Linked DNA regions of Tamandua tetradactyla. The protein of the gene in region 2 interacts with the protein of the main gene of each other region in a pairwise test. Links are inferred from orthologs where the notes say so. Each region holds a gene or a part of one and is shown on either strand. Other genes may lie near its edges.

The links. The genes of interacting proteins can lie anywhere in the genome.
Region 1: the proteins of NCK2 (region 2) and LZTS2 interact in binary tests that used the Homo sapiens proteins (3 or more experiments, as listed by UniProt). The two-hybrid records come from large-scale screens. The link is inferred for Tamandua tetradactyla from reciprocal best matches to the Homo sapiens genes NCK2 and LZTS2.
Region 3: the proteins of NCK2 (region 2) and CPSF6 interact in binary tests that used the Homo sapiens proteins (3 or more experiments, as listed by UniProt). The two-hybrid records come from large-scale screens. The link is inferred for Tamandua tetradactyla from reciprocal best matches to the Homo sapiens genes NCK2 and CPSF6.

Annotation. Positions count from the first base shown.
Region 1 is NC_135339.1:62,549,204-62,558,980, forward strand, and holds the start of LZTS2 (leucine zipper putative tumor suppressor 2), read left to right. Parts: upstream 1-5,454; 5' UTR 5,455-5,611; exon of another isoform or gene 5,612-6,019; intron 6,020-6,284; exon of another isoform or gene 6,285-6,906; intron 6,907-7,007; exon of another isoform or gene 7,008-7,050; intron 7,051-7,646; exon of another isoform or gene 7,647-7,800; intron 7,801-8,187; exon of another isoform or gene 8,188-8,297; intron 8,298-8,461; exon of another isoform or gene 8,462-8,588; intron 8,589-9,777. Other genes in the region: TWNK (twinkle mtDNA helicase), read left to right, coding at 1-93, 1,028-1,169, 2,064-2,384. UniProt on the Homo sapiens protein: Negative regulator of katanin-mediated microtubule severing and release from the centrosome. Required for central spindle formation and the completion of cytokinesis.
Region 2 is NC_135343.1:70,554,368-70,563,836, forward strand, and holds the start of NCK2 (cytoplasmic protein NCK2), read left to right. Parts: upstream 1-4,735; 5' UTR 4,736-4,834; intron 4,835-6,646; exon of another isoform or gene 6,647-6,697; intron 6,698-7,077; exon of another isoform or gene 7,078-7,148; intron 7,149-7,694; exon of another isoform or gene 7,695-9,469. UniProt on the Homo sapiens protein: Adapter protein which associates with tyrosine-phosphorylated growth factor receptors or their cellular substrates. Maintains low levels of EIF2S1 phosphorylation by promoting its dephosphorylation by PP1.
Region 3 is NC_135333.1:137,452,593-137,462,119, reverse strand, and holds the start of CPSF6 (cleavage and polyadenylation specificity factor subunit 6), read right to left. Parts: upstream 4,324-9,527; 5' UTR 4,249-4,323; coding exon 4,189-4,248; intron 1-4,188. UniProt on the Homo sapiens protein: Component of the cleavage factor Im (CFIm) complex that functions as an activator of the pre-mRNA 3'-end cleavage and polyadenylation processing required for the maturation of pre-mRNA into functional mRNAs.

The DNA of each region.
Region 1 (9,777 bases), on a different chromosome or scaffold from region 2:
AATGCAACATGCAGTCTACGTCTATGACATTTGTCATGTGGTCATCGACAATCTGCAGTTCATGATGGGTCACGAGCAGCTGTCCGCAGACAGGTGAAATCCCCCTCTTCCCTAACTGGAAACCACTTGAACAATCATGTCTTCTGGGGCAGCTGGTCTCTTGGCACACACACTGTCCTCTCTTGTTTTCTGAGATGTATGCAGGCTCATGGCACCCTACGTGCACTTCTGTCTTTATAGATGTGGAGTGTAACAGCAGGAAAGGACAGGATCCGAGTATGAGTAAGGTAGAATGGGGTTGTGACAGTTTGGGGGGATGAGAAAGAGTGAAGAGAGTATGCATGTTCTTGTCGTTCTGTCTGTGCCCATAAAACTCTTTTAAACACTTTTTTTATTGTATAACATATATACAAAGCAAAAAAAGAAAAAAAGCAATAATTTTCAAAGCACACTTCAACAGGTAGTTACAGAACAGATCCCAGAGTTTATCATGGGCTACCATTCCATCATCTCAGATTATTCCTTCTAGCTGCTCCAAAACACTGGGGGCTAGAAGGAATATTAATATAGTGATTCAGCAGCCATACTCATTCGTTAAATCCCATTTTCTCTGTTATACCTCCCCTATCTCCTTTAATCCCTCTCCCAATCTATAGGGATCTTTGGGGAATGCTTGTTCTAACTTTTTCATGTTCAGAAAGGGTGTCCACACTAAAGGATAGGGTGATGTAATTAATTGATAATCCTGGAGAGGCTGGTTCCTCTTGGTTTCCAGATTTATCTGATCTAGGAACCCTCCGGGAATTATATGTTCCAGAAATCTAGTGCATGAAACCTTTATAGAGTCTCAGTTTGAGCCCTAGGTGTTCTTAACAGTCAACAGAGTGATGTGAATTGGGGTTTAGCAAACCATGGCCATTAGGACTGCCTAACTGAAGCTTCTGTAAGAGCAGCCTCCAGAACAGCCTCTTGATTCCATCTGATCTCTCCTCTTGTCCAGTAACTTTTTTTGCTTTTTTGGGAGCAGGATTGCAGCTCAAGACTATGTCATTGGGGCCTTTCGGAAGTTTGCTACAGACAATAATTGCCACGTGACACTGGTCATACACCCCCGGAAGGAGGATGATGACAAGGAACTGCAGACAGCATCCATTTTTGGCTCGGCCAAAGTGAGTGATCTTTGGAGAGAACCAAACTTTGGTGAACAGAGTGGTCAAGTATGACCAGGGATAGCCCACAGTCAGCCTTAAATAACCTCGTTGACTATCCATTTAACAGATGGGACCGACATTAGGAATATATATGTACTCAAATACAAAAGCTGATAATAATAGTGTGTCGTTCTTCTACTCCAGCTCACATCCTCTAGTGAGGAAAAGAATAAGGTGATGATTACAACTCAATACCAATAAGTGCTGTGATAGTCAGCACACATATTTGGAGAACAAAAAGACATCTGAGTCTGCCTGGGACATCTGGGGAGACTTCTCAGAGGAGGTGTCACTGAAGTTTTGGTTGAATTTTGATGGACAGTAAATGTTAGATAATTAAAGAAATGGGCATTCTGGGCAGCAGGACCAGGGTGATTGTGGAACTTTCTGTGGATACTGAGTGCCTGTTATATGCCAGGCCTGGGTGGGGCACAGGGAATACAGGGCGAGGAGCACAAATTACATGCCACAATGGAACAAACAAGTTGCTGGGGAGAAGAAAAATGCAGCAGTCGAAAAATGGTGGCACTTTCTTCATTTAGGGTAGTAGTAGAAGAATGGTCTCAGATGAAGCATGGGACATTTAAAACAAGACCTGAATGACGAGGAGATGCCGGGGTTGGGTGGGGTGGCTGGCTATGGAGAAGAAGGGTTATAAGCAGAGGAAAACATCAGGTACAAAGTCTTTAGCCCACAGTGAACTCCTTGTCAAAGAACTGAAAAGATTAGAGTAGTCCTAGCATGTAGGTCAATAGTTCAGAAAGCTGTGGTAATTTCTGCCTCTCTCATATGTCTTTTCACCCCTTCCTTCTTTCTTCTGCTCCCTGCACCCCCCTCCCCGCCAACCTCCAGGCAAGCCAGGAAGCAGACAATGTTCTAATCCTGCAGGACAGGAAGCTGGTAACTGGACCAGGGAAGCGGTATCTGCAGGTGTCCAAGAACCGCTTTGATGGAGATGTAGGTGTCTTTCCACTTGAGTTTAACAAGAGCTCCCTCACCTTCTCCATCCCACCAAAGAGCAAGGTCCGGCTCAAGAAGATCAAGGATGACAATGGGCTAGTGGCCAAAAAGCCTTCGTCTGGCAAAAAGGGGGCTGTGCCCCAGAACTCTGAGGCTGGCCCGGGTCAGGCCTCCAACCCCTATCAGCCAGACACCCCCCAGCCTTCTAGGTGAAGGGTGTACAAAGCTGGACACTAAAGTGAGCCTGATGGGACAAGTTGGAACATAGACTCTTTCTTGGCCCTCTGTGAGGGCTGCCTCTGTGCTGTGGTCCTGAAGCTATGGGCTCCTCTCAGTCTCAAGGGCCTAGGCTAGGGCAGGATTCCATAGGAAGAGCGTTCAATTCTGCAGACTTTGCTTTAGGTCGTGGGAATACATCACTGAGCAAGACAGATGTGGTCCTATTCTGTAGAACCTGCATTCTGGTGCAGGAGCTAAGATAAACAATGAATAAAAGAACAGAGAACATAATTTTAGATAATGGAAATGCTATAAAGAAAATTTAAAAAACAGCTATGTGATAAAGAATGTTCACAGGCTAGTTTCAGTTAAGTGATCTGAAAAGACCTCTGAGCAGAGGACACTTGAGTTGGGGTCTGAAGAACGGGAAGGAGCAAGTCATGTGAATACCTAGAGGAAGCAGGCTCCAGATAGAAGGAAGAAGAAATACAAAGGCCCTGGGTTGGGAATGAGCAAATTGAGTTCAAGAAAGTGGTGTCAGGCCCCTCATCTTGGAGGGGATTAAGAGGCTCCTTGATGCAGCTCCCGCCTAGGCTTTCAGAGCTGAAGCATGATATGGTAGGTACTAGGCCCCCCCCGTTCCCCACTTTGTGGGGCTGTCATGAGCTGGCATTAGCTAGAATTGGCATCCTAGGTCCTTGGCCCTGGACTATCAGGACCCAACAGGTAGGAGCTACCTCCCCTGGATTGCTTGGCAGCAGCCATGAACCCAAAGAGCCTGCCACCTGGGCACTAATTCCAGGTAAGCTGCTTTAGACAAACAGTAGTGCTGGAGTGGATGCAGTTATGACTTTTTATAAAGCCTTTTCCAATTTTACTGAAAAAGAATGTTTTTCACTGCCTTTGTTTCTGTGCTTTTTTTTTTTTCTGTCCACCAGGTGTCCCCAGTGTATAACTGGACTCACACTTTGAATTGGGAGTGGAGGGGAGGGGATCTCCTTCCCCACTCCTGGCCTTTGAGTTGTGGGCTCCCAAGGGAGAAGGGGCATTGAAAGACCCTCACCCCTACCCATATAGCTCTTCTGGGCCTAGGGAAGACAAGTGTGTCCTTATCCCTAACTCCTTGAGGAACTCCATGTTGTTCGTAGCAGAGGAGTGGGTCTCTGGGCTACTCAGACCCTGTCTGGTCAGCTGTTCTCTGTGATGTGAGGCACTCGCTGACCACCTTCAGTGTTCACTTAGACCCAGCATATTCTTATCTTGCCGTCATTTCCCTATTCCTTGTACCCTCTTGGTGTTTTTCTTATGTTAGTGTGCATCAGTACTCCTGGGGATCTTGTTAAAAATTCAGAACCCAGGCCCACACGCCCCACACCCTCACTTCCTGCTACACATACATTTCTAATTCCAGAGGTTTGGGGAGGGGTTTAAGAACCCTCATTTTTAACAAGCCCTGCAGGAAATTGCAAACAGGTGAACTGAGATCCTGTCAGAAATATTCCTAAATGATGACATTTTCCTGTCTCACTTTCTGTATCCAGTTTCTCTTTAGAGTTGCCCATTTGTTTTTGAAAGCGTGGGGGAGAATGCAAGATGTTCAGAGGGGGCTGGGGAGAAGCCTTTTATTTAGGTGGGAGAAAGGTTTCCTGCTCTCTGGAGGCAGGGCTGCCATGTAAAGTTCTCCCTGTCAGCTTAAGAGCGTGCTCCTGGGACTCCATGGAAGGCCTGAGGTCTCTGGTCTATAGTGTGTGACAGCTGTGGCCAGATACCTCTCCTGAAACAGACTCCAGAGCAAAGCTGCTGCAAAGCTGTTCTCTGTGGGGCAAAACTTGGGAGGTAGCTCCTCCAGGGCCTCCCTTCTTGGGGGTCTCTCTCCCAGACTGGCTGGAGCCAGGCCTCCCTAATCCTGCAGTAATCATTCCCAGCCGCTGGCTGGCCCAGGCCTCATCCAAACTCAAACACTGGATGTCAGCTATGCCTGCCAGATGCTCAGAACTCCAGGTCAGTCCTACCTACAAAGACAGAGGTTTCACATCCTGGTCCCCCTTGAACACATGGTGTGTTTTCAGGAAATCCTTCAGGAGTTTCCAGTGGGCTAGTGGGAATTCGGGCTAGAGGGGCTCTCTGCATCCTGTGTAAGGTCCCTGGGAGTCACTGTCTACACACCCATTCAAAGTACATTAAGGCATATTACCTGGGATAGGGCTGGACTCTGTCTACCTCCAAGTGAATGCTAAGAATCTCCCCGATTGCTCAAGAATGGCCTGGTCAAGCAGGGTCCAGGTGGATCTGCAGCTTTGTCCTCAGATTACAGTGTCTGTATGTGTCACACTTGGCTGGGAGGAGGGGTCTCCACGGTGAGGGAACAGTTTTGGTCCTCCAGCAGCTTACTCTCAAATGTAGATGAGTTTGAGAATGGACTACACTCACCAGTCTCCTGCAGCCCAACTACTCAGGTTGTAAATATAGCCCAGATTCCTGCAGACATTATAGTCTATGCCTTCCCATCCGCTGCTTTGGGTGTATGGAGAGAGGGAGCACTTAGTGCCTCCCTAAGATAAAGGCCAACTTCCTGTTTGTGCCTGTGGGTGGGACTTTATGAGTCTAAGGGAAGCTTGGCCATGCCCTGTGGAGGCTAGAACTGGCAGACCTCACCTGGGCAGGCACCTACTTCGGGGAAGGGGGTGGTGCTCTGTTCTGCTTGGGCAGCCCCAAGGGGGGAGGGGGGCTGTTTTTGGTGAAACCCGAGCTTTCTTTGTCTGCTTCTCAGGGATTTTCCTGTGTTTGGGGAGTGGGCTGAGAGTAGACCCTGTTGGGCTCTCTAAGGAGAGGGGTGGGGTGGCAGACTCAAGTCCCATAATCAGCGTTGTTAGGACAGCCAGGTCGTTTAGCTCTCCATCACGTGCTGTTCGCCCCTTCCCCAGGTCAAAGCCAAGTCCAGGTTGCCGGTGAAGTCAGAGACCTAAAGGGCAAACTCGAGGCACTGCCCAACTACAGGGTCGGCTGTAGAAGGGGTGCTGGGCAGACCACTCCCCTCCCTGAGTCAGGGGCGCGGCCTCCACCGCTCCGCCCCGCTCCACCCGGCCCGGCCAGGAGGGCGAAGGGAGCCGGGAGCCGGGAGTCCAGAACAGGCTTGGGAGCCGGCGGGTCGGCCGCGAGGAGGTGCCCGCGCTGGAGCTGGCGCGGGGCCGGAGCTGGAGCTGCGGCGCAGCTGGCGTTTGGTGAGTGGTGGGGGAATACCCGCCTCCCACACCCCGCTCCGGAGCGAACTTTCCCCGTCTGGGAAGCTGGAGATAGGGGCGGAGTGGGGTCCTCCTCCTGTGGGACGCAGGAGAGGGAGTCTGAATAGGAGGCGACGCAGATACTCACACTGGCGGGCCCACACACGTGTGCACACCGATCCCCGCACGTACTTGGGACACACGAACACACGTGCACTCAAGAACGGATGCAGCCAGTGGGTTACCCTTGCAGTTGCAGGGGCACGCCACCGGCCCGCGCGGACCCCCGGCGGGCAGGGCACTCTGCTGTCGCGTACTTGGCGGGGGTAGGGGGAAGAGGCCGCCCCGTGACCGCCGACGGGGGCGGGTCGGGTGGGACGCATCCGGAGGTTCCTGCTTCCCGGCCGCCTGCAGGTGAAGACTAAGACGTAAACAGGCGCCGAGCACGTGATCGCGGCGCAGCCTAGTGGCTGTGCTTCCCCCACCCCCGCCGAAGGCCCGGGACCGCCTCTTTCAGTTCGGGGCGAGTCTGCAAGGTCCCACTCGGGGCTGTATTCCATTCTACGCCTCGAACCTGGAGCAATGATAAGCCTTTCCCTAGAAAAGGGACACATCGCCCCCTGGAGGCAGGGTGGCTCGGAGGACCGGGAACGTAGGGCTGGGATGGGGTTACCTGGGCTCCTCGCCCTCCCTCCCCAGGACACGTTCGTGGTGTCTCATCCCTGAAGGTATCGGAGGGGGCCTTCGCCTTGATGGCCGTCCCTTCCCTCCAGCCCAGGGAGCAGCTGTCTGAGCATCTGTGGATCACCTTCCTACCAACCCACCGCCCTCTTGCAGGACTGGGAGCTCCTCCCCGCGATGTAGAACAGAATGCCCGCCCCTGTAAGATTGGAAGTCCCCACCCCCGCCCAGTGAACGCAGGAGTGTAAACACCCCTCAATACCACCGTTTTAGTAGAAGGGAGGATGAGCGCCAGCCTCCAGCCCGGGGAATGAGGGAGTGGGCAGCGGCTTTATACCCCCTCCCCCCTCCACGCGCACACGCTGAGCCCAACTGCTGCCTGAGTTTCTGCGCCGGCTGCCGGGAAGGGGCGGAGGCTCTAAATGTCCCGGGAGGCTGGGATCAGGGCAAGGCCAGAAGAGGTGGTCTCCAGTGGGGAGAGAGCCTCCGTCTGGTTCTTGCGTGGCTGAGGGTCTGGGGTGAGCCTGAGGGTGGCTGGGCTGTGTTTCCCTTTCCAGGGAAAAAGAAAGAAAAACAACCCTTTCCATAAAGCTAAAAATAGAATTGAGAGCCCGGCCAGGGCTGTGGCCTGCGGCGCGATGGGGGGGGGGGGGGGTGCTCCTTCCTGGGGCGGAGCGAGCCCTAGCTAGGCCTTGGCGCTGGGGGGCGGGGAGGGGACTGTCCTTGCCCAGGGTGCGGACATCAGCTGACCTGACCAGGTCGTAGAGACCCCTATGGGAAAGTCCGTGTGGAAGGATATGTTTGTGAAACATGATGTGTATGTGTGAGAAGCTGTGAGAGCAACTGTGAGTGCCTGTCAATGTGTGGAAGATGCTTGGGACACCAAATGTATTTGTGACTGGGCGTGAAGACTGTGCCAAACAAGATGTGTGACACTGTGTCTGTGTGTGAGTTGGCCTGAAAGATTACTGGGAGAAGGAACATGAGACGGAATGATGGATGAGACAGTGTGTGGGTGTTAAAAAGATTGTGTTTATTTGCGAGAGGCTGAGAGTATTTGTGACCCTGGGAAAGACTGGAATGTGGTCTCCTGTGAGGATGGTGTAGGTTTGGACTGTAGGTTTGGAACGGGTCGCCCCAGTAACTGTGTGTGTGTGGGGGGGGGGGGGCAAGGGCCGCCTCTTTTCAAGCTTCTTGGCTCCGAAAGAAGGCTGGAAAGCACGGAGTCTCGCCGGGCGCAGATCTGGGCTGGGGCGGGAGAGGGCAGTTCTGGAGAGAGAGATGGGGGCCCGCACGGCGGGTGGAGGGGGCTGGGTGTGTTCTCCCAACCAGCCGCCAGGTGGCGTCGCTTCCCCCAATCCAAGTGTACCGCCCTCAACCCGCTGGGGGTGGGGCAGGCACGGACCGAGCCTCGCCCCCAGACTGGTGCCGGGGCATAGGGCCTCGACAGCAGGAAGGGGGTTTGCAGCGGACCCTCGACCTCCCCGTCTGGACTCTGAAGCAGGAGAGTGTGTCTTGGGGAGAGGCTTCGACTAGAGAAGCGAATGGGGGCGGGGTGGCCGCCGTCACGCCTGGCCCTTTGTGCTGGAACAATGACCAGCTGCCGCCGGTCCTGGGGCCCTAGCGTGGGGAGAGAGTGACCCGCCGCTGCCGAGTCCTGAGCCCACCGAACCCCCAGGACCATAGACACCAAGCCTCAGAGGGAGGGATCCTGATTCCCGCTGTGCTGCTCCTGCGTGTGCCCCGTTGGACACGCGTGACGTGGGGGTGCTTGCGCGTGTCGGCGTCTGGGGGCGGGGCCGCCCGTCGGACCCCTCCCCCGCGCTGCCCCGCCCACTCGGCCCGGGCGCCGGCTGGCCCCGCGGGTGGGGGGGCGCCGCGGAGGAGGGGCCGGGGCCGGGTCGGGCCCGGCCGCCCGACTGGCCGTGCGCGGGCTGGAGCCGCGCTGCGCGCTGGTGGAGCGCTGGGGGCGGCCCGGGGCTGAGCATGGAGCAGCGCGGCGGAGGTGAGGGGGGGCCGGGGCTGGGAGGTGAGAGGAGGCGCCCCGAACTTCTCCGCGGTGGAGGTCCAGTGGGGAGCCAGCATTCCACAGCTGCCCCTACTTTATGGAAGCCAGGGGAGGGGACGGGGAAGGGACGGGGAAGGGAGGGCTTTGGGGACTGTTGAGGGTGGGTTGGGGGCGCCCGGTTTCCAGTCGCCGGATGGGAACTCGTGATCCCAGACTTGATACCGCTTGGCTGGTCTCTGGAGTTTGGGTCGGGGGAGACCTTCCCCAACTCTTCAGCCCCCAAGTCAGGTCTGTGGGAGCCGGGACCTCTTTGGGCTTGGTTGAACCCCAGCCCACTGAAGGGGGGTCCCTAGGCCAGAGCGATTACTCAGGGAACGCTGGAAAGGTGGGGAGGACCGGGGGTTCCCTTTCCCCACAGCCACAAACGCATTTCTCAAAATGGAGCCTCGGTTTGCCCCTCCTTCTCTCTCCGCCCCAAGAGCGGGAGCCGGTGGCCTGGCCTGGCTTTCCAGATGCCTGGCTCTCCTGAGCGTCCAGTTCCCAGGGTCTGGCTTTAGGTCCCTCTGGGTTCCGGACCCCACAACTCCGTGGGGTTCAGGGGCCCTGGCTCACAGGGTCTGCCTGTCTCCTTGTCTGCCTGACCCTACCAGCCTCTCTAAGTCTTTGTCTCTTGTGTTTTGGGCCCCTGTGTTTCTCTTTAGTTTTCACTTTCTCAGTGCTCACCAAAGTGGGGAGATGCAGACAGAGGTACCAGCCCCCAAGGCCCCCTAAGACCCCTCTTGCTCACTGTTCTCTCCATGCCCTGGAGTGGCCCTGAAGAGGGAGCAGAGTTGAAGGAGGGAGGGTTCTAAGGGCCTTGCCCAGGGCCAGGACTTGTGGGGTGGTCTCAGCCCTGGGCACTGCAGAGAGGCCTAAGGCTCTTCCCTGGGTCCTGCTCGCCCCCTACCCCCAGCTTCCAGCTCCTCCCCCCTGACTGGACACTCTCCTGGCTCTCAGTGTCTTTTGACTTGGTTGTGGGGGGGAGTTAACTTAATGGAGAAAGAAAGGAACAGATCAGGTAGAGTCAGATAATATGCCTCTCCTCTCCCTGCTCTTCAGTCAGGGGAGAAAAGCAGGCTGCCATTCACCAGTTGGCTCTGCATGCCACCCATGCTCCTTTCCACACATGGTCACAGTCACATACACTTGTACATACTTACTTCCCTAGTCATGCATATACTCGTGTAACCTATACACAAGTTAACATATTAACTCTGTGTTTACAGATATATACTGATATATCTGTCCAAACATATTCTCTCATATATTCACACTCATATGCCACAAATTCATTTAAACGTATGCATTCATAACTTTCTCATACTTTCTTAATAGGCACTTCGTATCTACACACATACCTTTTTGTAAGATATTAATTCACACATATGCTCACGTATATATGAATGTACTGATACATCTATCCAAACATATATATATC
Region 2 (9,469 bases):
TTCATGAAGCGACAAGTTACAATTCTGAGGTAATGAAAATGTCCAAATTAAGGCATCGACAAAAGCATACCTTCACACAGAAAAGGTTAATCTCGTCTGGGGTTCCTCTGCCACATCGGAAGGCACAGGACGGTGTCTGTTGGCCCTATGCTCCTGTGTTGCTTTCAGCTCTTGGTTCCAGTGGCCTCCTCTCTGAGCTTTTCTTTGTCTCCAAACATCTCTGAACATCTGTCCCCTGGTTTCTTCTTTCTCCTCTCTGTGTCTGAACTTTCTGCAAAATGTTCCCCTCCGAAAGGACTCCAGTAAGTTAATAAGACCCACCTTGAATGGGTGGACTCACATTTCCATGGAAACAACCTAATCAAGAGATCTCATCCAAACAGTGGTCCTGCCCCCATGAGACTGGATTAGGATGAAAAGAACACGGCGTTCCTGGGGTGCATAACAGTTTCAAACCAGCACACCAACATTCTTAAATCAATTTGTATCCTGCACCATTCCTTCAGGAAACCATTATTAACTTGCCAACTTTGAGAAGTGAGCAAGGAGATCTGCGGGAATCCAAAGAAGTCACCCTTGCCCTTGGTCAGTGTGTCCCCTTTCTACACCCTATGGACACAGATGACCCCAAATCAAGGCATTTTTGGATGAGTGCCTTAGCAGAGCGGTGACAAATGCACACATCTTCTAGGAAGGAGTTTACTGGTGACAAATGCACACATCTTCTAGGAAGGAGTTTACTGAAAGATGAAGGGAGGGTGCTGTTTGAATATCAGCAGGTATCAAATTGCACAGGATTATTCTGCAAACACAGATTTCCAGTTTAAAAGTCTCCATCAGACTCCCAGAAGAAGAGGGCTGTCCCCACCAGGGTACCTCAAACAGCACCGTGAAGGTGTGCCAGCCAACCTCTCTAAAACATACTTTCCTTCTAACGTATTTGTTCTTTAATGAAGAATGTGATTAATAAAAGCAACAAACTATTCACCAATACCCCAGTTGAGAACTGCTTTATATTTTAGAAGTCTTCCCTTTTAAATATGCATATAAAACATTAAAGCATTAAATAACTAGACTTTAATAACTGGAAACCTTATTAACTGAAATCTCTCTACTCAGCACTCCACTATTGGAAGAAAGTAGCAGATGCGGGAAAACAACTGTATTAGGTTTTTAAAAAGTCATTCTAGCACGTGGCTCCAATTTAGTTTAGTTTCCACGCAATCTTCAATGTGCTTAATCCTGTAAAATGAGATTGCATGTTCAGAATGATGGCCCTTAGGCCTTATAAGGCATCCAAACATCAAAATAAAATAAAATAAAAAAAGACATTTCATTTACTGTACTGTGCTTTCTATGGTGAGATATCAGCTTGTGGTATTTTAGGAAAAAATTTCAACTTGTTTTTGAGCTAAAGGGCCTTTCTGGTTAAACCTTAACAGAAATGAAAATTTAATTTAAGGGAACAGCTCCTTCCTGAGGCATTTGGATTAATTGAGGGTTTATTGTATCTAACAAATATTTCAGATGTGATATTCGCCTAAAGGTAGATTTCAAAATGGAAATTCGAGTAAAATCCTCTTAGCTTTTCTGAAGTTGTAGGAGCACTCTCAAAATTAGTCCACTCTAAAATTACTTTTGCCCTGCTGCTAATTAAAATAATTTAAAGTTTGATTTTTTATTTTTCAGTACAAGCAGTCCTCAAGTTTAAAAGTTACGTTGTGCGTGTCTATCAACAATCTGTGTTTCTTGACAAAATGCACAGAGAGATCAGTTAGTATTTCAGTACACTTTTATTCCTATAATTCTTTTGCCCATAATTGCACTTGACTTTATAGTGTATTATTTTATCTTTTTCATTTATTTAAACAATAAGATGAGCACACCCATTTCCTGAAGTACAGATCATAATTCCAGACCTGGAAAGAGTAGATTTATATACAGACTGGCCCTTTGTGGTAGCTGTTGTTTTGAGATGGATGAACTTTTAATGTGTAATTATGGGCTTTTTGGATTTCATTCTTCCAGAAACTGAGAGATGGGTTCCATGGGTTTCTAGCTTGCCTCCTCTTTGGTCTGAAGAGACGGTGAGAAGGTGCTTTGTATTTTGGGTAAGAAATCTTCATTTTATCTGAAGACTCAATGTTTCCGCCCCTTCTCTCTAAGCTAATGTAAATAAAATGAAATACTGAAACCTGCCAGTCCACCAGTATTCGTTCTGAAATTGTTTTATGGGTTCATGAAGTCTTGTAGGTCTCTTCACTATTGTTTGAAGTTCTGTCCCCTTTGGTGAGCTCGTAAAAAAATGTGGACTTTCCATTCATCATCAAAGTTTATTAAGTCTCTGCTAGGCACTCTGTAGAGGAAAAGGTGCTGGGGTTCTGAATGGAAAACTCTGACTTGTTCCCTGCCTGCAGGGTGTTTATCTCAACACTAAGATAGATGATGCAATTAAAGAACACTAAGGCTCATTACTCCAGTGGGAAATTATAACACTAATGGTTTCTTTTCTAGTAAAAAGTCACTTGAGGGCAGGGACTGTGCCTTGCTCACTTGCATACCTCCAGAAGAAACTCTGCTTGTAGTCAGTTGGCTATAAATATTCATTAAATATAACTGTACAAAAACAAAACCATTAATCCCTCACCAACCCGTTTCCCCAACTTTTCTATTGCTGATTTTGGCCCTGTTATACATATGCACTACCTATATCCAAAGCCTAATGTTAGGTTTGATGCCTTTTTCCTCTGTCCTCTCTGCCTGGCCATCTGTCAATCTCTTTTGAGCTTTTCATCCCAGGCTCTTGTAAACCATTTTCTCTTCTGTTCATCCTACCCTAGTCTGGGTTCCTACCTCTCTGAGAAATGCAAACTTCTGTTTGTCCTGCATCTGGGCATTCCTCCTTCAACCTCTTTGGTGTACCCACCACATGAGTTTTCCTGAAACAAAGCTGAGGTGATGCCCACACCCACACTTTATCTCCTGGGACTTCACCTCATGAGCATCCTCTCCTCCATGTAAGGAAACTGGGCCATTGTCTGATCCCATCAAACCCTCCAACATTCTCCTTTCTGTCCTCATGGGTCTCTACCCCCTTTCTTAGGAATTTCCTCCTTATCTGTCTCCATCTTTCAAAATTGTACAGGTTGCTTAGTCAGAGGTTTTGATTGCAAGCAAGAGAAAGTGCTTCTGGCTACCCTAAGCAGAATGAAAATTTACTGGAATCATATCAAAGAGCTGCTAGGGCAGCTGGGGCTGCAAGGAAGCAGGCTGGGAACTAAGCAGGCTGGCTACCCTCGAAGGAAGTGCTGGGACTTCGAGGCCAGAGCAAATCGAGTTTCACCCTTCTCCCTCTTTGTCACACTCAAGTTTCAGAGGCCTGAGTGGGAGGGTTCAAAGGAGCCCTGCCTTCCTCTCATTCAGATGGGGGTCTCCCTAAAACAAGGAAGGGACTCAGATGTAGGGTAGCTGGTTATGGCAGTCTGCTACTGTGTTGTCTTTCAAGGTCCATTTCTAATGTCACCACCTTTTGAAAGCCTCTCCTGATTCTCTCATTTTGTTCAATACTTTTCAAATTTAGCTTTACGTTGTAGTTGTTTGTATATTGTGCCTTATCCTTCCTCTGAGATTAAAAGCTCAATTTATCTGTTTCTCCCGAATTGCCTCTTTTAACGCCTTACAAATAGAAATGTACTAGGAAGGTTTAATTGAATTGAGGGTCAAGACAGAAGGGCACAGAAAGGCAGATATGAGGGGTTGCCAGGTGTCGAAGCACACAGAAGAGGTATTTTTCCTATTAGCTCACGTAATCCACACAATTCTTGTAGTCGTACTACTATTATGTGAGGCTCAGAATGCTTAAATGACTTGTCCAAGTCACAGGGCTGTAAGCAGGCCTTGGACCTGGGAGGAGAATTCAGAAGTTTTATCTAGTCCAAGGAGGGCTTAGAGGAGGCGGGTCCAGAACTTCCGGGAACACCTTAAATAGGTGAGGAGTGAGGCAGGGAGCTCCTGGCTACTCTGCACTCTAGAAGGTAGAAATTGGTGTGACTAAATGGGGGACAGCGGAGAGCCCAGGGGGACTGAACCAAATCGCTTATATTGGGGCTGAACCAAGAAACTAGATTGTTCCAGCAGGACTAGGTCATAGAGGCCTGTGAAAGATAAATAGCAGGACTTGATGCTGATGTGTTTTGGGGGAAAAGGCTTATTACACTTTCGGCCCTTTCAATATTTTGTTAGTGAGGATATTTTAATAGAAAAACAAACCTGGATGTACTGATGGAGGTCAATGCAGAAATGGGTAGATATTTTTGGATACAACTCAGGCTTCAAAGAAATGTCTCAGCCACCTTGGGCCTTGTAATGGGTTGCATGGAAACCCCCCAAAAGATGGGTCTACCTAGAACCTGAGAATGTGGCACCAGGTTTTGGAGTCCAGTATGTGCAGGTTCTGATTCCAGTTCTGTGGCTTGCTGTTTCATTTTTCTTGTCTGTAAAATGGGGAAGACAATTTTGTGTTTGAATTAAAGACGACAAATGTAAAATATTCAATACATGAACATTTTGCTTATCAATAATTCCAAAATTAGGACGGTAGCATTGAAAGTAGAAAGGTGTGGCCAAAGTGATGCTTAAGAATCAACATGACTCAGAGTCATGGGAGTGGAGATGGCAAGGGATCTTCACGTGATCTCGGCAATCCCCTCACTTTCTGCAGGTAGAGCAGAACTAGAGGAAGGACAGGTTTCTACCCTGGGGGCCGAGAGAAGGTGGTGGAAGAAAGGATTGGTGTGGCAAGGAGGCCAAGTTCATCCTGGATGATCTCGAGGAGGTGAGTTGCTGGCCACAGGGAGGGTCTCATGAGCAGGTGAAACCAGAGACGGGCGTAAAGGCGAGGTCAGGGCTAAGGGTCTCTCTAGGGCTACAGATCTGGGAGCTAGTCCTGGCAAATCCAGACCAGAAGCATTCACAAAATGATTAGCTCTCTGGAAAAAAGGCACCTGACAGAATAAGAACATAAAGCCAAAATCTGTGTCGGGAATATGGCCACCGTCAGAAGCTGGGAAGACAAAACACCCAACAAGGATACAGAGGAATGTAAGAGAATGGGAATCAGACGTGTTAGATGAATGAAAAGATGGCTGAGTTTCATGAAATAGCAGAAAGGCCACCTGCTTGGAAAACAACCTTGGATAAAGACCTACAGGCTGCTGGGTTTGTAGATAATGTCCCGGGTGCCTTGAGCCAGAGTCTGGGGAGGAAAAGGAGGCTTTGGATGATGTTCAAAGATACATGATTCAGTGAAAGTTTACCAAGCTAACAAGCTAAAAACTGGGTCAACACTGTTAAACCTATTTCAAGTAAACTAATTTAAAACTGGGGCAGACCACTGAGTAGATTTCTGCTTTCCATTTTGTAAAGCAAGTTGTTAGTAAAGCAAAGTTTTCAGGAAAGGATGGACTGAGGGGCTACCTTCCAAGGTTATGAAAACAGAATGTTTCCCTTCTCTCATCTCCCAATCGACGTGGTCCACCCTGCTACCAGACGTTGCTAATGAGGTGTGCCCCAACATCGCAAAGGATGCAGGTAAACATATCTCCTCACTTCAGGAAGAAACTGAGGCTTAGAAAAATTAAGAGACATTCAGTTGTCTGACTTCAAAGTATACAGACTCTAGTTATCCATCCTTGGGGACTTTCTTGCCAGGACAAGACAGGGGATGAGGGAGTCAAATAATACTGCCTGGTCTCCTGGAATAAATTATTGCTGCCTTGATAGTCATGGAGAAGCCAGGAGCCTCAGGGTCACTCTCTAACATGGCTGCAGGCTATCCCGCTAGGATATCAGAATCATTTGAATATTAGGGTTTCCCTTTGGGAATCCATATGGGAAGGAGGTGGGAGAACAGGCATCTGGTGCATGTGTCATCCTTTCCCTTTCCTTGTGGGATTTCATCTTCCACGTTTGTTTAGAGAGGTGAGGCCCAACTCGCAGCTGGGCTGGGGAACCGGTCCCCCCACGCGTGAAAACTCCTCCCGGCGCCCACGTTCACGCAGCAACTCCCCGGATTCTGCTACCCGCTCGAGCAGGCGAAGGTGCAGGGGTGGCCGCGGAGGGTGGGTTTCCTCTCCTGCCCTCAGGAAGTGCCCCCAGCAGGGACGCGGGAGCAAAAAGAAAAAAACAAAAAACAAAAACCAAAAAAAAAAAAAAAAAAACTTGTCTGGTTGGGAAAGTAAATAGATGTAAGGCAAAGATATAAAAATACCCAAGAGCAATTACAAGGAGGAAGTGACATTTTAAAGTCACTTTCCTGATGGACAACAGGCCTGCCTTCCTGCGAGTGCCGTGGGAATGTTTTCGGGAAGGGGACGGGGGCCAAACGGCGAGAGCGTCACGATAAAATCAAACAGAGCAGGGACGGGCGCGACCCCCCTCCGGGCCCTCGGCGCTGGCAGCCACTGCCCTTATTTTCACTCCCCAGTTCCCACCCGCCTCGCCCCCCGGGCGAGCCCTCTCCCGCGGCAGGGACGCGTCCCCCCTCCGCACCGGCGGCCAGCTGTCGCCGAGCACCCGCGCGGGCCGCCCAGGCTGACAGTTCCCTCCCCGCCCCCCCCGATCCCCGGCCGCGCACCTCGCGCAGCGCCGCCCGCCGGGCCCGGGAGCCCCAGCCTGGGGCGAGGCCCGGCGCCCCCAGGTGGGTCTCGGCCGCCTCCGCCCCGCGCGCCCGGGGCCTGCGGCGGCGTCACGGCGCGGCCGGGGGAGGAGCGGCGGGAGGCGGCGGCGAGGGGCGGGCCGGGGAGGAGGAAGCGGAGCGGGGGAGGGGGCTGGGCGCCGGGGGAGGGGCCGCCGCCGCCGGGGTGGTGGCGCCGGGAGCCGCGGCGGCCAGCGGGGCGGCGGAGCGGCCGGAGAGAGGGGCGGCCGGGCCTGGGCGCGGCGGGGCCGAGGCGGCGGCGGCGGCGAAGGCTGAGCGGCGGCCCCGGGCCCCGGGCGCGGTCGGCCCCGCCGCGGGAGCGGGCGAGCGGCCGCGGGCGGCGGGAGGAGGGGAGCGGCGCAGACAAAGAGCGGCGCCGCCCGGGCCGGGGAGCGCGGCCGCCGCCGGGACCCCCGCGCGCCGGCGTCTCCCTCACGCTCGGCCCCCGCCGGAGGTAAGCGCGCCTGGGACGGGCCCGGGGCGCGGGGGGCGCGGGGGGCGCCGCGGCCGCCGCAAACTTGTGGCTATTCGGCGGAGTTGGGAGCGCGGCGGGGGCTGGCGGGGCGGGGCCGCGCTGGGGCTGGGGCTCGGGGGGACCGGGCGCCTGGCTGCTGCCCACCGGGTCCCCCTCGGCTCGGCCGCGGGCGGGCTGGGCTGGGCTCGGCACTTTCCAACTCCGCACCCTCCTGCCCGCCTTCCCCGGCCCGGCCCCCTGCCCCGACCCCCTGGGGGACCGGGGCCGCCCCGCGGAGGGTCTGGGCGGGGGCGCGGCCGGCCGAGGCGTCGGGGACGGGGCTAAGTGCCCCGGGCAGCGGGTCCCGGGGAGCCGGGCAAGCCCCGGGTGAGCAGAGGGTGCCGGCTCCTGAGCCGGCCGCGGGGACGGAGCCCGGGCTTCGGCGTGGGAGCGAGTCCTCCTCCCCGCGGGTCAGCCCGGGAGCCAGGATGGGGGGGGTGGTCGCGGCTGCCGGGCGGCGCGTGTCCTCCGCGCGAGTTAATAGCCCAGATCTCGGGGCCCGGCGCCGAGGCCGTGCGAGGCCGCGCTTTGCCCGGGAACTTACAGGCTTTATTGGAACTGTTTATGAATCGCCCCTCAAAGCTGCTGTCACGCCGCATCAGGGAGGTCCTCGCCTCCGCGAAGGGCGCTTGGGTGCCGGCTCCCAGCCTCCGTGTCCTGTCCCAGATTCACATGACTCTGTTGCAGCCACCTGAGCCAAAGTTTCCCACAATAGCTTCGCTCCCTCGGTTTATTCAGGGCGATGAAACTCCGAAATGGTTCTGGAAGAATTGGCTGTGTGACTTTTAAGGCACTGCCTCCACCCTCCCCTGCACGCGCGGTTGGCGTGTTGTTGTGTGGAGCGGTTTAGTTTGCACAGCGTAGAGGGTAAAGATCGCCTTGGAAAGGTCTGCGTGGGATCCTGGGGTCACTGGCAGGTGACCATCAGACGTCGGAATTAAAACAGGCGTTTTAACAACTCCGGGGACAAAGCAGTAATGTGTGTGGAGTCTGCCTCCGCCACTTCGGGCAATTAATTTTGGCGGTTTCCCCTTTATTGGGCTTTGTTTATCTTGCCAACAGGTTTAAGTCTCATGCAGCCAACGTTGCCTCTCATCCTTTGGCTTCTGAGTAATGGGATGAGCCAGCCCTGCTGCCCTGCAACATAATCCTTCTGGCTCTTTCCATTGACCCACAAGGAAACTGACGCCCAGCGAGGCTTACTCAGGACCCACAGGTCTCGAGCCCTGCCTGGTCCCAGCGCAGTGGCGGTGGTCTCAGGACGGATTGTGTGTGGGGTTTGGTGCCGCCGTTTGTGATGTAGTTGTCAGCAGTGCTTTTCAAGCCTTAAAAGTGACTGAAAATGAGATGAACCTGGGCTGCTTTCGTTTATCAAAACAGATCTGAACTTTGCCCCCCAAACACTCCCTTAATTCACTTACCACGTGTTCCTTGATAAACAGGTAAATTAATGGCAGTGTCAGCGATGAGCATGCGGGGAAGAGATGCACCTAGCTATAGGTTTTTTAGATGTTTGTGATAGGGATTTCCTGAGAAAGGGTTAATACTGCTTGTGAAGACGTGACCAGAAGGGGAAATCCTCCCCGGATATTTCTCCTTCTTCAGTGCTGGCTAGATGTAGTTTTGATTGAAGAAAGCGGCCGATCTTCATTGACTTCTAGGGGCAACTTGAGGCCGAGATTCCATTCCTGCGAGCCAGTTGTCAGCTTCTGGAGATGCCTTCCTGCTCTCCTTGCCTTGGACACCTCACCTGTGCTCTCGGCTTCTTAGCAGCTAGGTAAACACTCACCTGGATTGATCAGGAAATACAGGGTGTCATTGCGTGGCAGTTCCCCCTCTGTCCATTTGTGGAAAACTGATAGATTTAAATGGGTGAGATTGTTTAAGGTGCATTTTAAGCTGCTATGCTCAGTTTTCACGCTCTGGGTTTTGCTTTATAAATTTTGGCCTGCTTTATAAAATTTGCTTTGTAAATTTTGGTCTGATCATTACATTACTACATACTTAATCTTCTTCATCCTGGAATTCCTTGATCCTGCCATATTCCTAACCTCTGTCATTTGCATCAGGGGTTACTGAGGCTTTCCAAGAAACAGTATATCTTGTGTCTGAGTATTTTGAGAAATGAACGGCCATCCATATTAAATACCCTAGAAATCACGCCTGCATGCTCACAGACTGAATAACCCTTTAAAACACCCTAAAAACTCCCATATTGCCTGGAATGACCTGGGATGTTTTACTGTATCACATTAGCTTAA
Region 3 (9,527 bases), on a different chromosome or scaffold from region 2:
AGATTTTTCAACCTTTTCTCTTCATCATCCTCCCCACCCAAGAAGTCTTTTTAAACATCCCTCTCCACCTAAACACCACAATCCAACTCTATAGGAACTTTAAAGTATCACAGATACACTATATACTGTTATTGGAATGACCATGATATAGCTTTCCAAGTACCCTTCATTCTCTCAGACAGGCCTAAAACTGCTTTTGGTGACCCAAAAGTGGCAGTTAATGCCTTTTCTGCATTATACGATGCTACCACTAATGATACAACAAAGATCACTTGTTTCAAAGCCTCTCAAAAAAAGACAGACAGAAAGAAAAATAGTGTAGTCATTCCCGTTTAGAGAAATATGCAGGGTGGAAAACCACATTTTGCATACACAAAATGTATTCTAAACCAAGGAAGAGAAACATAAGCATGCAAAATCCAAAAGCAAATAATTAATGTTTATTTTTTGAGAATATTTCATTTTCTGATTTTTATCCAATACTGTTCTGAGCAGATATTAAAATTAGTAATTCCTCTAAACAGTTTAATAGTGAGAAAGCCAATTTTATCCTAAAAATATGCCAGACAAACCCGAAAATTCATAGGCAGCTGTATTAACTGCATTCATAAATAATAAAGCAGAGTGAGAAGAGTTCTAAGCTCCCCTAAACATTCCTGTATCAATCTCTACTACCTTATTCTCAATCCTAACTACATTGTTTTCTACTAAAATTAACAGAAAAAGGTTCATTAATATTTGTCCAACAAAATGCATTTTCCATAACTGACCAAACAACTGGATATAATAAATATAAAACATGATGACTCACGAAATAAAGACAGGTTGTCTTATAGGGATGTCTAGGTCTCTAACTTCTAGGTAAATCTTTTCCTGGCCACTCCCTATAATCTTCACTTAAAAGCTGGGTGGTTAGATTACTAAATTGGCACTGCTATCAGGAACCTATTGCCTGATACCAGAAGCTAAACTCTACACTAAGAGCTTTTTATCCCCAAACAAGTAAAAAACGCAATTCAATGCACACAGTATAAGCTCTCCTTGCACTCAGACAATTTTTTACTTTCCTTTTCCCCCCAACAAAAATTCTACAGATAAAGCTATACATAAAACAGTGGTATCTACATTACTGCATCTGTCTGAATGTTATAATTTTGTAGGTTATCTCTCAACCCAGAGTGCACCCCAATGCACTCTGAGGGCAGAGACTATCTAATTTTCCTATCTCTAACTGCAGGTATATAACAAACACTCAAGAAATAGATTTTGAACAATTGCGCTTTAAAAATTATTATAATTTAGTAAATAAAAATAAAATTAAAGTCTGTAATTACTACATACTAGGCTAATACTTACTACACTAAGTATAAATGACAGTTCAAACTGAATTAAAACACTATAGAGACTGAGACAGAACAGCTTTCTTCTGTTCTCAATTTGGTGACATCCAAAAACCTTCAGTTTAAGAACTAAAGGGCCTCCACAAAGAATAAGATAGCCAATTCCCTTGTGCCTTCTCACCTCCTCTAGCTTTCTTTTCCATTCTTAAATTCACCAGGTGAAGAAAGGAACTCTACTGCAGTTTCACTTTCTTGTTTTCACTCCATCCCCAAACAAGTTAGTTTCTTCTAAGACAAAAGAATGCCTCACACACAACTTCAGATAGACCAATACTGTGCTTTACCAAAATAATTTTTAAAAGCTTCATAAACTACCACCATTTAAAGAAGTAAAAAACAGAAAATACACAAACCACGAAGCATTTCAAGTTACATACGCAGTTTAAAAGTCAAAAATTTAAGTCGACTGACTTAACATAGTAAAATAATGTACTCAATTACTTCTTATTCAAAATCTTATAGTTTAGTATAGCAACCAGTAGAAATAAGATCATCTAATAGAGGGCAAAACTAAATTAGTCAGCAATAACTTCACAGTTGTCTCTTAAAAAAAAATTTTTCAATGATACTAGCATTTTTTAAAAACAGGATGAACCTTGAAAATGACCAATTATCCTTTTGCAGCCATTTTTAAAATAGGGAATTACCACAGCAAGCAGATTAGAGGCCAATGATATGCAAAATAACAAAAACAAAGCCTGTATTTAATAAAACTGTAATGCCTCCCGCCATTAATCCATTCAAAGACATTAACAATTTTAGGGGGCAAAATCACACAACTATTTATGAGATATAATGACCCAGATATAAGTCAAGTGACATTCTAAAAGAACCTTACAAAATAGTTCATCGAATTCACAAAATTTTAATCTCTTACCTCCTGCTCACTCAAGCCTTAATGCACAGAGATAACAAAAAAATATCACTCCAACCACCTATGTGGATATAGGAGATGTCCCTCCAAAATTAAGTATGTAGAAGTCTAAAAACATTTCATAAAGAGGTAATCAAGAAAGCTTAATCTCTAAAGTTCGCCCTAATTCTTCCTTTATTGTGGGTAGAAACGCAAACCAATATATTCTTTTGTAGGAAAAAGTAAGGAAGACAATCTTGAACATTTAATTGTCCCTTTATTCACAGGTGTGGCTTCTTTTGGTCAGAGCGCTCTACTCATCTGATAAATACATAAAAGAAATTTCCTAGAAGCCTTTATCTATGGAAATTAAAAGCATTAGAACCCGATGCTGTGTAGCACTCAAGGAAACTTTCTAAGTTCTCATCGACACAATTCAAGTATCATACAAGCAAAATATAAGTGAATTTAAAACACAAGAATTTTTAAACTCAACATTTAATGACAATGGGTTACAGTTAAACATTTGCAGTTCTGAAGGGAGTAGGAAATATTTAAAAGCTAATTAAGATTTTTTTTTCCTCTTCTAATATTTGAGCCACACATTCTTGAAAAAAGGAATGTAAGATTTCTGGAGTTTTCGTATTTTAAAATATCTTGACCTCCTACCGCAAATAAAATCCTTAATGAAGGGAAAAAAAACCCAAACATTAACCAAAATTTTATTAAGCTTCTCGTTCGAACCTGGAAAATATAAAAAACAGTGCTATTAGGTGTCACATAAAATGCAGCAAAGTTGTGAACATAGGCTTTAGGGCTTAAACGTCATTAACTTGGTTAAACAAGATCTTCTACAAGGATGCTTATCATCAGACACCAAGTTCTAGGCAACTGTGACCTGATACCAGAACAAATCTTGCTTTCTCACTTTCTCTAACCTCTCAAAATATAAAGTGGATCCCTCCGAGTAATTTAACATCTTGCTTTCAAATACAGCATATCTAAAATTCTTTATTTTCAAATTTAAGAATTTCGGGTGAATGTCCGTTCTTTATTCTTAAACACGCCTCTACACCTGATCTCTAAGTGAAAATACCATGGATCTTTTTGTTGCATCCTACCATCGCGCTTCCAAGAACTGCTTTTCGCCCAGGCCACCTATCTTCACAGGAATTTGTATCACAAAGATCAAGAGAGACTGGGCCGCAAAGGCACTGCAAAGCCCTCGATTAACGAGGCCAGCCAGCGTACCGACTTTTAAATACAATTCGTGGGTTCTAAAGTCAAAACACTTGTTGCAAAGATGCTCACATTTAACACGCCTTCTCCCGGTCAGGGAAGGAGGAGGAAGGCGCCACGCCGAAACCTGTCGCAAACGCAAGCAAGAGCGCCCGGGAAGCGGGGCGCGCGGGATACAAAGGGCCGTGAACGCGGCCTTCCATGAGGCGACAGTGCGTGGACAAGGAAACAAAATGGAGCGACAGGAGGAATCGGAGCCCGGACGGCAGCGCCGGGAAAGAGACGGCAGCCGGCGCGAGCCCCTCCGAGGCTTCCTTCTCGGGCCCCGAGGGGGAGGGGATGCGGCGGCGGCCCTTTCTGCCCGCCGCGCACACGCGGCCCCGCCGCCCGGGCCTAGCGCGGAGAGAAGCGCCTGCCGGCCGCCGCCTACAATAAGGAGCAAAGCGGCGGCGAGGGAGGGGTCGGTGGCGGCTGCACCGACGGAGGCCTGCGTCCGTGCCCCGCAGCTACGCGGCCCGCGAATCGACGCGGTAGAACGAGGGGCGAGGGGGGCACCGGAGCCGGAGGAGGGGCCCACAGGCGGCAAGGGCGCACGGTCTGCAGCCGCGCGGCCTCGCGGCCCGCCTCCGGCCCCGGGTCAGCGTCCGGGCCGCAGTGCCGCCCACTTCGGCGGTACCGGCCGGGGCCCTCACGTACCTGGTTGAACTCTTCGCCCACATCCGCATAAATGTCTATATGGTCCACACCGTCCGCCATCTTCCTTTGGGCTCTGCCGCCGCCGCCTCCTGCAGGTCTGCCCGCCTCGGCAGCAGCAGCGGATCTAGCGGCGGGGGCGGGGCGCCCTAACGTCACTTCCGAGGCCGAGAGGCGGAGGCGGGGGCGCCCGGGGGTGGCGGTCGCCTCTGCAGCCTAGCGGCTCCGCTGGCTGAAAAGATGCTATTTGCCGCTGAGGGCAAAAGCGGTTTCTTTTGTGTGTCTGGCTTAGGCCCGCGGGGGAGGGGGAACAAGTCCCTTTTCTTACTCGCGCACCTAGCTTTCCTGTGCATCCCAGTTGTTTCCAGAGGCCGTGTTTTTACATTGCCTCTGGCACACTCAAACGTAGTGGGGTTTTTTTGTTGTTTTAAAATATGTATTTTTGTTTCTTAATTTTCCTTCTATTTCTCACAGCCAGGACGTCTAGAGAGGTAGAAGTTGTCCACGATTAGGTACAGTGTAACCCCTCGGTCATTCTTTAAGCGCCTTGAGAGCAGGAATAATGTCGTTTTCCTTTACCTTCAAAGAACGGCAGAGTTCCATTTCCATCGTAAATGCTAGAAGCCCGTTTGTGGTTGTGTTTAGTCATTTGCATGCTATTCTCTTTGTGTCCCTCTCAATCTCTCATCACTTATCTTCTTTCATTCTCATTTTTTCTTATTTGATCTGCTGTTGGCTTTCACTGGTAGTTCAGATACCTGTAGCTTGAATGCAATTATCGTAGGACAAACATCCAGTAAGGTGGAGAAATCTTAAGGTAAAGAGATTATCTCTTAGAAACATCGAATGTCCAAACGGGAAAGGAACTGAATGGTGTGTGATCAGGTCCAAACATCTCATTTGGCAGGAGCTGGAGACCTAATAGAACCTAAGCAATCTAACCGTGTTGCCACGGATACTTCATTTAAAGGTATTTCTCCAGTTTGAAAACTTCCCCCTACTTTTAACCCATTTTTAAAACCTCCAAATTAGAATGTTTCCTAAGATAAGGACTAGCCAGAAATCTTAAAGTACTAAGCCAAGCCAACATCTGCCCATGGGTTTTGGTTGAGTACAAAATTCTGCTCAGACATTCTATGAACTTGATGACCTTGGTCAAGTTACTGAATCTCTCTCATCTTCTGTCTCATAATCTTTAAAATTGGGGTAATAAAATCTACCTCAGATGGCTGATGGTACCTTAAGGGAGATAAAAGGCAAAAAGTGCCTACCATTGAGAAATACTGATTTCCTTTCTGACTTTGAGTAGTCTTTATAGAAGAAAAAATCACCCAACATAAAGGGTAAGAGCAATTTTTAGAATGGTAGGAAGAATGATGACGACCCAATATGTCCATGCCCTAATACCCAGAACTTGTGAGTATGTTACATTATGTGACAAAAGGAACTTTGCGGGTGTGGTTAATGATTTTGAGATCAACCTCCCCATTTGGAGAATTTTATATTCTTGCAAACAGTGGGGACAACCAAATCAATAGGCTGATCTAGGGGTCACCCCTATAAAACTTATTCCTGCAAAAGGATAGGTTAAGCCTACTTAAAATCAGGCCTAAAAGTCACACCCAGAGAACCTCTTTTGTTGCTCAGATGCAGCCACCCTTTGTAAGCCAACTCGGCAGGTGAACTCAGTGTCCTCCCTCCTATGTGGGACATGACTCCCAGGGGTATAAATTTTCCTGGCAAGGTGGGACAGAACTCCTGGGGTGAGCCAAAACCTGGCATCAAGCAATTGAGAAAGCCTTCTTGACCAAAAGGGGGAAGAGCTAAATGAGGCAATGTTTCAATGGCTGAGAGATTTCAAACAGAGCTGAGAGGTTATCCTGGGGGTTATTCTTATATGTTGATACTTTAACTGGGACATTTTCATGGCCTTAGAACTATAAATTTGTAAGCTAATAATGCCCCATTGTTAAAAGCCAGCCCATCTGGTCTATTGCATTCCACAGCTTTAGTAAACCAAAATAACAAGGAATGGACTCTTCCCTAGATTCTCCAGAAGGAACACAGACCTGCCAAAATCTTGGTCAAGGCCAGACTTTGGACTTCTGGCATCTAGAACTGTAAGATAATAAATTTTCATTGTTTTAAGCCAATAAAGTGGTTATTTGTTACCACGCTAGCAAACTAATACAGGTGGGCTGGAAGAAAGTTCCTCTACAACATTCAACTCCCAAGGATACCTTTGGCTTTCAATTCTAGGTAGACCTGAGTCATAGAATTTCAGAAGTAGGGGAACTTTTAAAATTATCCACCCAGCCCTTTATGACGGTATTGAGGTAAAGGACTTGTTTATAGTCAATTGGCTAATCAGTAGTAAAGCCTACTTTTCTTTACGTTAAGTAGTAAAGTCCTAAGACTCATCAATGCTCTTTGAAGGAGCATTGATTTTTTTTCATCTAAGTACAATGATGACTACAAGAAATTTAATAAAGAGACTAGCATGTTGTAGAAGGTGCTCAATAAGTGGTAGATTAGGTTATTATTAAGAATTTTTTCTTTTAATCTATGGTAATGTTTTAGTTTTTGAACATTGTTGAGTGAGGAAGTACACTATAACATAATTTTTAAATCATCAGAAAGTTAATGAGAGTGAGTGTGGAATTTCCTGGCCAAGAAGTAGAAGAGAATAGGGTCTATACATTCAAACTTCTTTTGCCCTGGTAAGAGAAGGGGAGAATTTGCAGATGCATAAAGATGAATGAGAGGCTGAGCTATGCTTTTGACAGCTGGGAGACAGAATTAGTGATACAGAAGATAGATCAGGAAAAAAAAAAAGGTATCCAAAATGAAGCATGAGGAAACCAAGGATGGAAAATATGAGAGGAGAAATAGTGGCTAGAGAGAGGAGATCTAACATGCATTTAATTGGAGTTGTAGAAGAAGAGAAGAGAGGGTTAGAAGCAATATTTGAAGAGATAATAACTGAGAATTTTCCAAATATCATGAAAAATATCAGACAATATTAGACAAGAAGTCCAGTGAATCCCAAGCACCATAAACTTAAAAATATACACCTAAACACATCATAGAGAAAAAATAGAAAACTCAAATCCAAGAGAAAAATCGTAAAAGCAGCCAGAGAAAAGGGACTGATTCTCTTCAAAGAAGCAGTAGATTGCTTGTAGCAGTGGAATGACTTTTAAATGAATTGAAAGAATATAAACTGCCACCTAGAATTCTATACTCAGGAAGAATATCCTTCAGGAATGAGAGCAAAGTTTCATCCCCCTGTCCCATATTATCAACAGCTCCTTCCAACATGAAAAAGTTAGAATGGGCATGGCCCAAATGCCCGTAAAGAGTGGGAAAAAGATCAAAGGTGATGGTGGAGTTATACAGAGAAGGTTGGGTTCAACAAGTGAGTCTGAGTGCTGAATCATTATACTGATATTTCTATTGGCCTCCAGTACCTTGGAGCAGCTAGAAATAAAAACCAAAAAGGGTGGAGTTGTAACCCATACCAAACTCTGAAATCTGTTCTAAAATTAATTGTTGTGATATACTTTGAAATTTATTGCTTTTATGTTTATATGTTATTTAAAGAAGAGGAGGAGCATAACAGAGAAGATAGGATTTAACAAATGAGTATAACTGCTGAATCATTATATTGATGTTTCTGTTGGTCTCCAGTATCTTGGAGAAGCTAGAAGAAAAAAAAAAATTATGGAACTATAACCCGTACCAAATTTTAAAATCTGTTCTACAACTACTTGTTAAAATGTACTTGGAAATTTATTGCTTTTTTGTATATATGTTATCTTTCACAGTAAAAAAATGTTAAAAAAAAATGAATGAAAGCAAAATAAGATATGCAGAAACTATGAGAATTTTACCACTGGTACACAAGGAAATTTAAAAGATATTTTTTGGATAGAAAGAATTTGATCCCAGATCGAAAATTTGAGATACAGAAAGCAATAAAGAGCAGTGAAAATGTTAAGTATGTTGGTAACTCTGAATAAAGATTGTGTAAAACAGTAATAATACAGACATGTGGGGTTTAAGTACATAAACGTAAAATCACAATTAAATAAGGGAAACCAAGAAGTTATAAGGGAGGTAGATAATGTTTTTTCTGTACATCCGTTTCTTCCCTGAACAGAAGAGCTTTCTCTCTTTTTCCATACACATGGCTATGCAACAATCAACTCCAGGGTTCAGATAATTACTGCTCAAGAAAAATGGTTAATTGTCTTAGTTTCAGTTACAAAACTCTAAAGAGAAAGCAGCTGATTAGATTTTTTTTTTTTTGCTAGAAATCTACTCTCAGTCCAACCAAGTCTGTCTGAGGGGGCGGGTTACACTGTAAAAACATGACTGACAAATTTCATCCTGTAAGTTAGGAAAGGGTGGAGAATTCTCAGAGAAAAAATGTTGCATTGAGCTAGGCAAACACCCCAAAGGATATCTAATACATTTTACCTGTTAGATTGGCAATGCATAAACAAAGGCTATAAATATTTAATACTAGCAATCATTCTGACTTATTCCAAATCAGTCACTTAATATCATCATCTCTGTAGGAACATGACTAGGCTTCCAATGCACTTGAGACCGTAATTTAGCCCTGTGCTCTCCAAACCTTTAAAAATACTCACCTCATCAGTATAACATTTAAAAACAGGTAGCCACAGTACATGTATGTGTATATATATATATACACACACACACACACACACACAATTTAATGTCACTATATGAATTCATTTTATATTAACATACACCATAAATATGCATATAAATATAAAGTTTTAAAGGATGAAATAAACAAAATTTTTAAATGTTTTGCTAATCATCTTGGCCTCATACTATAATTAGTAGTTATATCACTGAATTTCAAATAGTCTTCTTAAAATTTTTGAAATTTGGGGACCTACTCTTGTAAAATATGATTAGATTATCAGTTTTCATACCATATGTGGCTGACAAGAGTTCATAGTAGAAGGAGCACAAGTGTTGTCTCTACCATTTTCTTGATATTAACTTATATTTCCACCATTAATATTGGTTATGGACTTTGGTTTTTAAGACACTTGTGCATTTTTTTGAAGGTTAGTGTAGTTAAAGCTAGAAAATATAATGTCAATCTATGTCACTAGGCTCTCACTGCAAGTGAAGTGTATCATGTACTTGTATGAAGGAATCATTTTTGAATCCTCTGCCTTGTGGAACTCCTCCTTTTCCCTCAGGTTTGCTCATGTACCATAGGAGGCATTACTGAGAGGCAAAGGAAGTTAATGATTCAAAGCCCTTCACTTTCATGAGCCACTTCCACAATTTGG